Linked DNA regions of Macaca mulatta. The protein of the gene in region 2 interacts with the protein of the main gene of each other region in a pairwise test. Links are inferred from orthologs where the notes say so. Each region holds a gene or a part of one and is shown on either strand. Other genes may lie near its edges.

Evidence for each region.
Region 1: the proteins of SRPK2 (region 2) and ZSCAN9 interact in binary tests that used the Homo sapiens proteins (3 or more experiments, as listed by UniProt). The two-hybrid records come from large-scale screens. The link is inferred for Macaca mulatta from reciprocal best matches to the Homo sapiens genes SRPK2 and ZSCAN9.

What each region holds. Positions count from the first base shown.
Region 1 is NC_133409.1:155,135,708-155,140,703, reverse strand, and holds the start of ZSCAN9 (zinc finger and SCAN domain-containing protein 9), read left to right. Parts: upstream 1-1,865; 5' UTR 1,866-1,998; coding exon 1,999-2,637; intron 2,638-2,822; coding exon 2,823-2,955; intron 2,956-4,996. UniProt on the Homo sapiens protein: May be involved in transcriptional regulation.
Region 2 is NC_133408.1:144,729,232-144,733,589, reverse strand, and holds part of SRPK2 (SRSF protein kinase 2), read left to right. Parts: intron 1-1,136; coding exon 1,137-1,302; intron 1,303-2,495; coding exon 2,496-2,521; intron 2,522-4,358. UniProt on the Homo sapiens protein: Serine/arginine-rich protein-specific kinase which specifically phosphorylates its substrates at serine residues located in regions rich in arginine/serine dipeptides, known as RS domains and is involved in the phosphorylation of SR splicing factors and the regulation of splicing.

The DNA of each region.
Region 1 (4,996 bases), on a different chromosome or scaffold from region 2:
GAGGATCACAATGATATACAAATTCCAGGCTAACGGTGGCAAGTGGCTGCCTCAGGGAATGGGACTAAGGAGGGGTAGGTGGGGTTTGACATTTTACTTTATTGATTTTGGTATTGTCTGAGGGTTTTTTAAACCATAAATAATGTATTAATTTTAAAAATGCTTTTAAAATCAGCATTTTCAATAGTTAACGGTCTATGCTTCATCAACGTTTTCCGTTTAAAACCTGTGTGCGGCCCATACACGTATGACATTCTGTTTATGTGATTCACTGCTGAAAAAGAACTGGACGCCAGGAAATTAGGGGTTGAGCCCGAGGCAAGGTGGACGCCGGACAACGAGACACGGAATCCTAGACCGGCCCGGAAGTGCCTCTGCTAGTCCGCCTTCGAGGAGGGGTGGGCATCTTCCCCGCCCGACCATTGTTCGTGCAGCGCGCCTAGCAACCCCGGGCCGGTAACCCCCTCTCCGTCCTCGCGCGTTCCGGGTCTCGTGAGTTGGCTGTGGGGGCCGGGAATGGAGGAGTGTTGGGGAGGGTGGGGCTGGGAAAGGGGTGTGGAAAGTGAACCTCAGCCTCTGGGAAGTGGGAGACGGAGGAGGGGGCGGCGGTCAGTGCCGGCCGGCTTCAGGCGTCCCCTAGACCAGGGTGGTCATCCCCAGCTGTGGGGACATTGTACAAGAAAGGGTTGTAGGAGGACTGCGAGGCGAAAGGGTCACCTCGGTGAATAACGACAACAGGCTTAGGACTCAGGGAAAGAAACCCCCGGGAGAGGAAGTTAAGGACAGTTAAGACTTTGGCAGCCTTCAAGATGGAGAGTCCGTATACCCTCTCACCTCTAGATTCTAAAAGCAAATTAACGGGCGTTGAATGGACTGGTTTCAAAGTGCAGAATGTGACAGTTCCCGATTTCCTTAGTTCTTTGATTCTCAAACCTTATAATACATACAAATCACTGAGGAGCCCGTTAAAGGTGCATATTCTGGGGCTCCCTGTACTTCTCTCCACCTCCCAATTCAGATTCCCCAGATGTCTGCCACAGAGCCTGTCAAGCTGCAGTTAAGCTGCTGAGCTGTGCTTTCTGACATTTTGGAGACCCACATTTTGGGAACACCCCCGGGGTTTCAGGCGCTGCCCGGGTCTCTGGAGAAAACTTCTCCCTTGGGCTTCTTTGGCTTCTTAGGCTTCTTAGGATTGTCCTCACAAAGAAGTTGACCTTGGGCAATCTACTTAACTTTCCCTGGCTTCCATTTCTTATCTAATGAAATAATTATTACAATAAAACCTCAGTGGGTAATTGTGAGGATGAAATATGGTCTTGTATCTGAAAGCATATTGTAGACTTGTGCAATGTTGACTGTTACTCTTAAGTAGCAGCAGGGCGGTGTGGAAAGCTCCAGGGCTTGGAATCCACCCAAGCCTTTCTTTCTGTAAATTTAGTGTAAATAATACCAACTTTAAATGGTTGTTTTGAAGATTAATTTAAGAAAACTGAAGTAAACAGTAAAGTAAATGTTGGTTCATTCATTTAGTCGACAGTAATAGTATTTCCATTTATTCTTTCTCTAATTTGATGTTTATACAGTGAGCTCAAACTTTTTATTCAGACTTTCTGAGTGATCTGTGCAGTCCCTAATTCATGGGCTGTTTTCCTCCACGAACTCTGTAAAGTATTATTGCTATTTCTTTTTCACATAAAGAAACAAAGACTGAAAGAAGATTTAAAAACTTGGCACAAGGTCACACAATTAGTAAATGTTAGGATCAGAATAAAACCTAGGTCTGGGTCAGGTGTGGTGGCTGACACCTGTAATCCCAGCACTTTGGGAAGCCAAGGTGGGAGGATCGCTTAAACCCAGGAGTTTGAGGTTGCAGTGAGCTGTGATTATGCCACTGCACTCCAGCCTGGGAAACAGAGTGAAATTCCCCATTTTTAAAAAAGAAAGAAAGAAAGAAAACCCATATCTGGGTAACTTAAAAGCCTATACTCTTTGCACATTATGAATATATATATATTTCCATTATTTCCATCCCAAATCACTTTTCAGAGGAGAGCTTTAGGGCCTATGATAAATGCTTATATTATCAGTTTCTGTCATCAGTTATTGTCATTTTTCCATATAAATAATTTATTTTTACTGCTTAGGCAGGCGCCTCCAAGGTTTGTCTTGAAGCATAGCTGCAGTTGGAGGGTACCTTTTAAGCTGTTCAAGGTCAAGATGAATACAAACTCAAAGGAGATTTTATCCCTGGGTGTTCAAGTTCCCCAGGCATGGGAAGAACTTCTGACAATGAAAGTGGAAGCAAAAAGTCACCTCCAAAGGCAGGAATCCAGACTGAAACGCAATAATCCACTGGCAAGGGAAATCTTCCGAAGGCACTTTCGACAGCTGTGCTACCAAGAGACCCCTGGACCAAGGGAGGCTCTTACCCGACTCCAGGAACTTTGCTACCAGTGGTTGAGGCCACATGTGAGCACAAAGGAGCAGATTTTGGATCTGCTGGTGCTGGAGCAGTTTCTGTCCATCCTGCCCAAGGAGCTCCAGGGCTGGGTGAGGGAACACTGTCCAGAGAGTGGAGAAGAGGCTGTAATTTTGCTGGAGGATCTGGAGAGAGAGCTCGATGAACCACAACATGAGGTAGAAGGGAGATTTGCTAGAGAAAAAAGTGTATTTTGGCATGCCAAGAATCCTTGTATCCTCTGCTTTGTGTCTCCTTGACATTGGTGACAAAATACTCTCCTTCCTGTTTCCTTCTTTTTTGGAAGTGTTTATTTCAGATAGTTAATTTCTTCAAAAGTCAAATCTTGTCTTTTTGTCTCCAGATGGTAACCCACAGACACAGACAAGAAGTCCTCTCTAAAGAGATGGTGCCTCTAGCAGAGCAGACACCACTGAGCCTTCAGTCCCAGCCCACACGTGACTCTGCTCTGAAGTGCCATTCTATTGGAGAGACAGGTGAGGGACAGCATTTATTTGATGTTGAACGAATCTCACCTGGTCAAGCAAAAACAAACAATAAACCCAGAGCTGGGAAAACAGGAGATCCAAAGACTCCTTACCAGATAGCAGCAATGTTCAGTGCTTCTTAGACCCTAGTGTGCTCATCTTTGACCCTTCTCCCTGTGTGCAGACTTCTCTCTGAGTACCATCCTGGAAGCTCTCTGGACTTCTGATGCATGATACATGAGGAAGGCTTTCAGGGATCGCTGTGGAGCACAGCTTCAGAGAATGGACTTCAAGGTTTGACAGACAGGTTCAGATCCTGGCATCGCCTCATGGAAGCTGCTTGTATTGGGCAGATTACTTAACCACTTGACCTCAGATCCCTCTTCTACAAAATGGGGTTGATAATAGCTTTGGTTTAGTCTACTTGCGCTGCCTTAAGAGAATACCACAGACTGGTTGTCTTTAACAGAAATTTATTTTCTCACATTTCTGAAGGCTAGTAGTCCAAGATCAAGATGCTATCAGGTTTGGTTTCTGGTGAGGCCTCTTCCTGGCTTATAGATGGCCATCTTCTTGCTGTATCCTCACATGGCCTTTCTTTGTGTGCATACAGAGAGAGAGGAAGCTCTCTCATCTTCTTATAAGGACAGATACCATTCCTACCAGATAGAGCCCTACCTTATAACCTCATTTAACTTTTAGTACCTCCCTCAAGACCCTATCTTCAACTATAATCATATTGAGGGTTAGGACCTCAACATATGTGAGGGAATACAATTTAGTCCATAACCAGTATATACCTCAGAAAGTCATTGTGAGCATCAAATACAAACAATTTCTGAAAAGCACCTGGCATGCATTATGCTTAATACATGGTCGCTATTGCCACAAATCACCACTGCCACCCTTGCTGATTTGGGTTCATAGTTGCAGTAGAAAGATATGAGATATGCTTAGTAAGTGGCAGACTGTATGAGAGAATCCAGTGAAATCAGACTTTACCATTTCCTTCTCTGTAATCTTCTGAATGGTGGCAGTGGCCACCCTTGTGGATATAGATCTGAGCACTTGGGACTGAGTCAGCTGCTTCCCCATTCTAGCCCTCCCTGCAGGAATTATCTCCAGCTTGTCTGATTTCCCACACACAAAATCATACCCTCTTACTGACTTTTTGTTAATCTTCTGACAATCAATCTGTAGCAAGGTTCTGCTGTTTTCAGTTTCGTATTACCCCCATATGTATCAAAGCTGCAAATTCCCTTGCCTCTTTGTCTCTAGCTTCTATTTATTTCATTTACCCTAGCAATTATGGATTTCTGTTACATGGAACACATCTCTCAATTTAAATTAAAGTGTATGTGTTGAGTAAATTCTGTGCAGACCTTCCTGTAGCTCCCATGACTTGATCAGATTAAAATTGCTTCTGATATCATTTTTCCTCTTTATGAGCATCTTTCCAGTCAATTAATTTCTTTCTTCTTCCTCTCTCTATGAACTTGGACCTTTTATTTTCTAGCCACTTCTTTTCTTCTACCTTCCAAACTGCATCTAGAACCCTGCTGAGAACCCCCTTTTCCAAGAAGCACATCTACATTTTCCATCTGTCCACTCATCTATCCATCTATCATTCAGCAAGTGTTTATTAAGCATCTACTATGGCTGTAGGAGAGTATCCAGAGGGCATCTAGAGATTGTAGAGTTCTCCTTGTAGAATATCAGTGCAGGTATGTGTTACAAATTTAGGTAAAGCCAATATTATAAAACAACATAGTGTTTGAAATTACAAGGACCAAATTCAAGTTCCAGCTTTTCAAATTCTTAGTCAAGCAGTATTTAATAGGTAAGTTTGAGTTTCTTTTTAAGTAATGCTGATTATTTAAAAATCCAAATAATACAAAAGTTTATATAGTAAAAAATGAAAGTTCTGCACATCCTACCTACTCCCTAGAGGTAACTACTCTTGTCACTTTGCTGCATATTTTCCAGATGTTTCTCTCTATAGTCTGTTTACCCATATATAGGTATCTTGCCATATTTTTCTATAGTTCTT
Region 2 (4,358 bases):
TATGGGGAGTGAATGCTAATGAATATGTTGTTTCTTTTTGGAACAATGAAAGTGTTGTCATTTAAATAGTGGTGATAGTTGCCAGGGGCGGTGGCTCACGCCTGTAATCCCAGCACTTTGGGAGGTCAAGGCGGGTGGATCACAAAGCTCAGGAGTTCGAGACCAGCCTGGCCAATATGGTGAAACCCCGTCTCTACTAAAAATACAAAAAAATTAGCCAGGCATGGTGGTACATGCCTGTAATCCCAGCTCCTTGGGAGGCTGAGGCAGGAGAATTGCTTGAGTCTGGGAGGCAGCGGTTGCAGTGAGCTGAGATCGCGCACTGCACTCCAGCCTGGGTGACAGAGCGAGACTCTGTCTCAAAAAAATAAGAAAAATTAAAAATTAAAAAATAAATAAAAATTAAAAAAATAAATAGTAGTGATAGTCGCACATCTAAAACCCATTGAATTCTATACCTAAAGGGGTCAATTGTATGATACGTGAATATAGTTGTTATTGAAGTATGTATAGTTGACGCTTGAACAGCACAAGGGTTAGAGGTACTGACCAACCCCCTCCAATGGAGTTGAAAATCCGGATCTGGCTTCTGACTTGACTACTGGCATACTGTTGATCAAAATCCTTACTGATGACATGACCAGTTGATTAACGTGTTATATAGCATATTCTTACAATAAAGTAAGCTAGAGAAAAGAAAATGTTAAGACAATCATAAGGAAGATAAAATATACTTACTATTCATTAAGTAGATAGATCATATTCAGTAGATCATCATAAAGGTCTTCATCCTCATCATCTTCGCGTTGAGTAGGCTGAGGGGTTGGTCTTGCTGTCTCAGGTGGCAGAAAAAATATGGGTATAAGTGAACCCATGTTGTTCAAGGTTCAACTGTATGTAGATGCATTTGCTTCCATGAGCATAAATAATCTCTGAAATTATACATATTTGTTGCTTATAGAAAGGAGAGCTGGATTCCTATGCAGGTAGTCATGGGAGGGAGATTTTTACTAAATATCCTTTTGTGTTTATCAAACTTTGTACCTTGTCATCGTATTACATGTTTTTCAAATAAATAAAAGTTATATAATGAAGTATTAATAGCTTATCTTCTCTCTTGATTTTACTATATCCAGGTCCTTCAAGGGTTAGATTATCTACACAGTAAGTGCAAGATCATTCATACTGACATAAAGCCAGAAAACATCTTGATGTGTGTGGATGATGCCTATGTGAGAAGAATGGCAGCTGAGGCCACTGAGTGGCAGAAAGCAGGTGCTCCTCCTCCTTCAGGGTCTGCAGGTGAGGGAGCTGAGCTAGCTTCATTTCAGTTTGGGGGCGTTGTGAGCTTGCAAAGTTGCAGTTGTTGAAGGTATCTGAATCAAATGTTACATATAAGGAACTTTTTGGAAAAGTTTAATTGCTGGAAATAACTGCACCCTTTTCTTGAAATGGAAAATACCCCAGCTACATTATATTTTAATGTTAAAATTATTTACTTTTGTCCCCCTTTAAAAGGCCATTTAAATTTGTAGTTGCTGCTTCATCTATATTTGAACATTTTTTTCTGTTGCCCACTTCTCTGCAGAGGAGAACATAGTAACAGCTTTCCTGTAGCTGACCTTTAGTCATCAGAATATTTTTCTAGCTTCAGTTTTGTTACAGTAATTCCTGTTGTCCATTTAGCATAGCTATGTCAATCTGAGTTTTATCAACAGATTTGGAGTTAGTTTAGAAAAGGCCTGATGGTGGGGGAAGAAGACCAAGTGACCTGAGTATTGGGATATTTTTACTTCTGGGCTGGGGTCGGGGTGGTGGTGCAGTGAAGTGTGGACTGTGTTTCTCACTCTTCGACACCGTGGTCTGTGCCTTTGTGTGTTGTCATGCAAGCATGTATACTAAAGGGCTGAGGCTCCTGGGACTGCCTGGGGCTCTCTTCACATCTCCTTTACTGCCATCAGGGTGTTGTTTAGATCATGGACCCAGCCTGTCAAACTTTTGGCCCTGGTGTAGGGGTTTAATCATGTGATTCCCAGACTGTTTGCTGCATACCAACTGCAATATTTGATTTAAATTGTAGAAAGCTTGCAAAATAGATTTCAAATATAGATGTACATCTAATCTAAATTGTTCATTTCATTATATTTTAAACAAATTTGGTTTAATGACTGTGATATGTATGAATTCTTTCCCATTTTCTTATCTGTTGGTGCTTTGGGCTTGACTGTTTTTGAGATGTATTAGTATTTCATTTTAGATAAATAAGAGAAATGGCTCAGTGTGAGCAACTTCTGCTATGCCTTCAAGAGTCACTCATTTGTTTCAGTGCATAAACTTTCTCTAGATTCCTGTGATTAAGAAGCTCTGATTAATAGTTTTTGAAGTTGGATAGCCATTAAAAGACAATAATTATTTCACTTTGCAATTCGAATGACCTACGTGAAGGTATGTGTCTGTTTTCTGCTAAATGTCGATTTTGTTTCATTTTGTTTTAGTGAGTACGGCTCCACAGCAGAAACCTGTAAGTACTTACACATACTACTTTATATGCACCATGTCAAAAGAGACCATTTATTATTGAGTTGTTCAAATTATTAAAAAGTTGTGTATTTAAAGGGTGAACACATTTATAAAAGTTGTGTATCCTCAAATAGGTAAGACTTACTGTCTTGTTAATTTTTTTTTGTTTTTTTTTTTTTTTTTGATACTGAGTTTTGCTCTGCCACTCAGGCTGGAGTGCAGTGGTGCCATCTTGGCTCACTGCAACCTCCCCCTCCCGGGTTCAAACAATTCTTGTGCCTCAGCCTCCCAAGTAGCTGCGATTACAGTCACCCGCCACCACACCCAGCTAATTTTTGTATTTTTAGTAGAGATGGGGTTTCACCGTGTTGGCCAGACTGTTCTCGAACTCCTGACTTCAAGTGATCTGCCCACCTCGGCCTCCCAAAGTTCTGGGATTACAGGCGTGAGCTACCACATCCAGCCTGTCTTGTTAATTTTTCGTATCTTTGCAGAGTTGGGATAGTTAGAGCCTTTCAAAGATTGTCTTCTTTATGCATTTTCTGGACTGTCGTTGGCCAAGTTCAGTGAAATGTGAGGTGATGCAGTTGAAGTATTTTTATTTCAAAATCACTTTACATTATTTCTGATTGGCTGCTAAGTTACCTGTTTTTCTGAAGCTGTTGTTCTAATTTTTTTCCATCCAGATATTAAATAAGAAAGAGACTGATCTATTTTGTGGTCCCGTCAAAACTGTATGTCCTTGTTAGATACTGGGTGTGGTGGCTCATGCCTGTAATCCCAGCACTTTGGGAGGCCGAGGCCACTGAATCACTTGAGGTCAGGAATTCGAGACCAGCCTGGCCTACATGGTGAAACCCCATCTCTACCAAAAATGCAAAGACTAGCCGAGTGTGCTGGTGGACACCAGTAATCCTAGCTACTGAGGAGGCTGAGGCAGAAGAATCGCTTGAGCCCAGGAGGTGGAGGTTGCAGTGAGCCGAGATCCATGCCACTGCACTCCAGTCTGGGCGACAGAGCGAGACTCCGTGTCAATAATAATAATATCATCATCATCATCAGCTGGGTGTGATGGCGTGCACCTGTACTCCTAGCTACCTGAGGGGGTGAGACATGAGAATCACTTGAACTCGGGAAGTGGAGGTTGCAGTGAGCTGAGATCACACCACTGCACTCCAGCCTGGGCAACAGAACGAGACTCAGTCTCAAAGAAAAAATAAACCAAAAACAAAACAACAGCAAAACACTATGTTTACTGAGACAGCCCTTGATTTGGAATGTAAGTTCTGGAACAAGAGGAAGCTGTAATAATTACGCTTCCTGGCCTGCTGAGACGCCCGGATTGTTTCCCATAGTTTTTCCCTGGCTTGAGCTGCCTGAGTTCACTGATTGTTTGAAAGGTTGGAGTCTTTCATTGCCAGTGCTTGGCAAGTCGGGTGGCCATGATGGGAGGCAGACAAAAGCTGTGGCTTTTTCTTTTTTCCCTTTGCTGAATAGGCTTATCTCTTAGAATTCATGTTGTCTTGGCTGCTAAGAGCTTCATATGTGAGCCCCAGACACACAGTGACATACACCTGCTCAGGCACCTGCTTCATTTTTGGCATTGAGGAGGTGGGATGTTGTTACTTTGTATATAGACAGCAGCAAATAAAACTTGCAAGAGGAGCTTCTCCTTTAAGGCCAAGAGAATTTCAAACTTCAGTTCTCTTAGGGTTTGAATGGTGAAGACTTACTGGATTTAAGCTCTATCCCTTTGAGGGTAGGACCTGGTGGTAGACCCAGCACGTGAGATCAGTCAGCACTGCTTTCCCTTTGATTTTACTGTAAGCCTTACCACA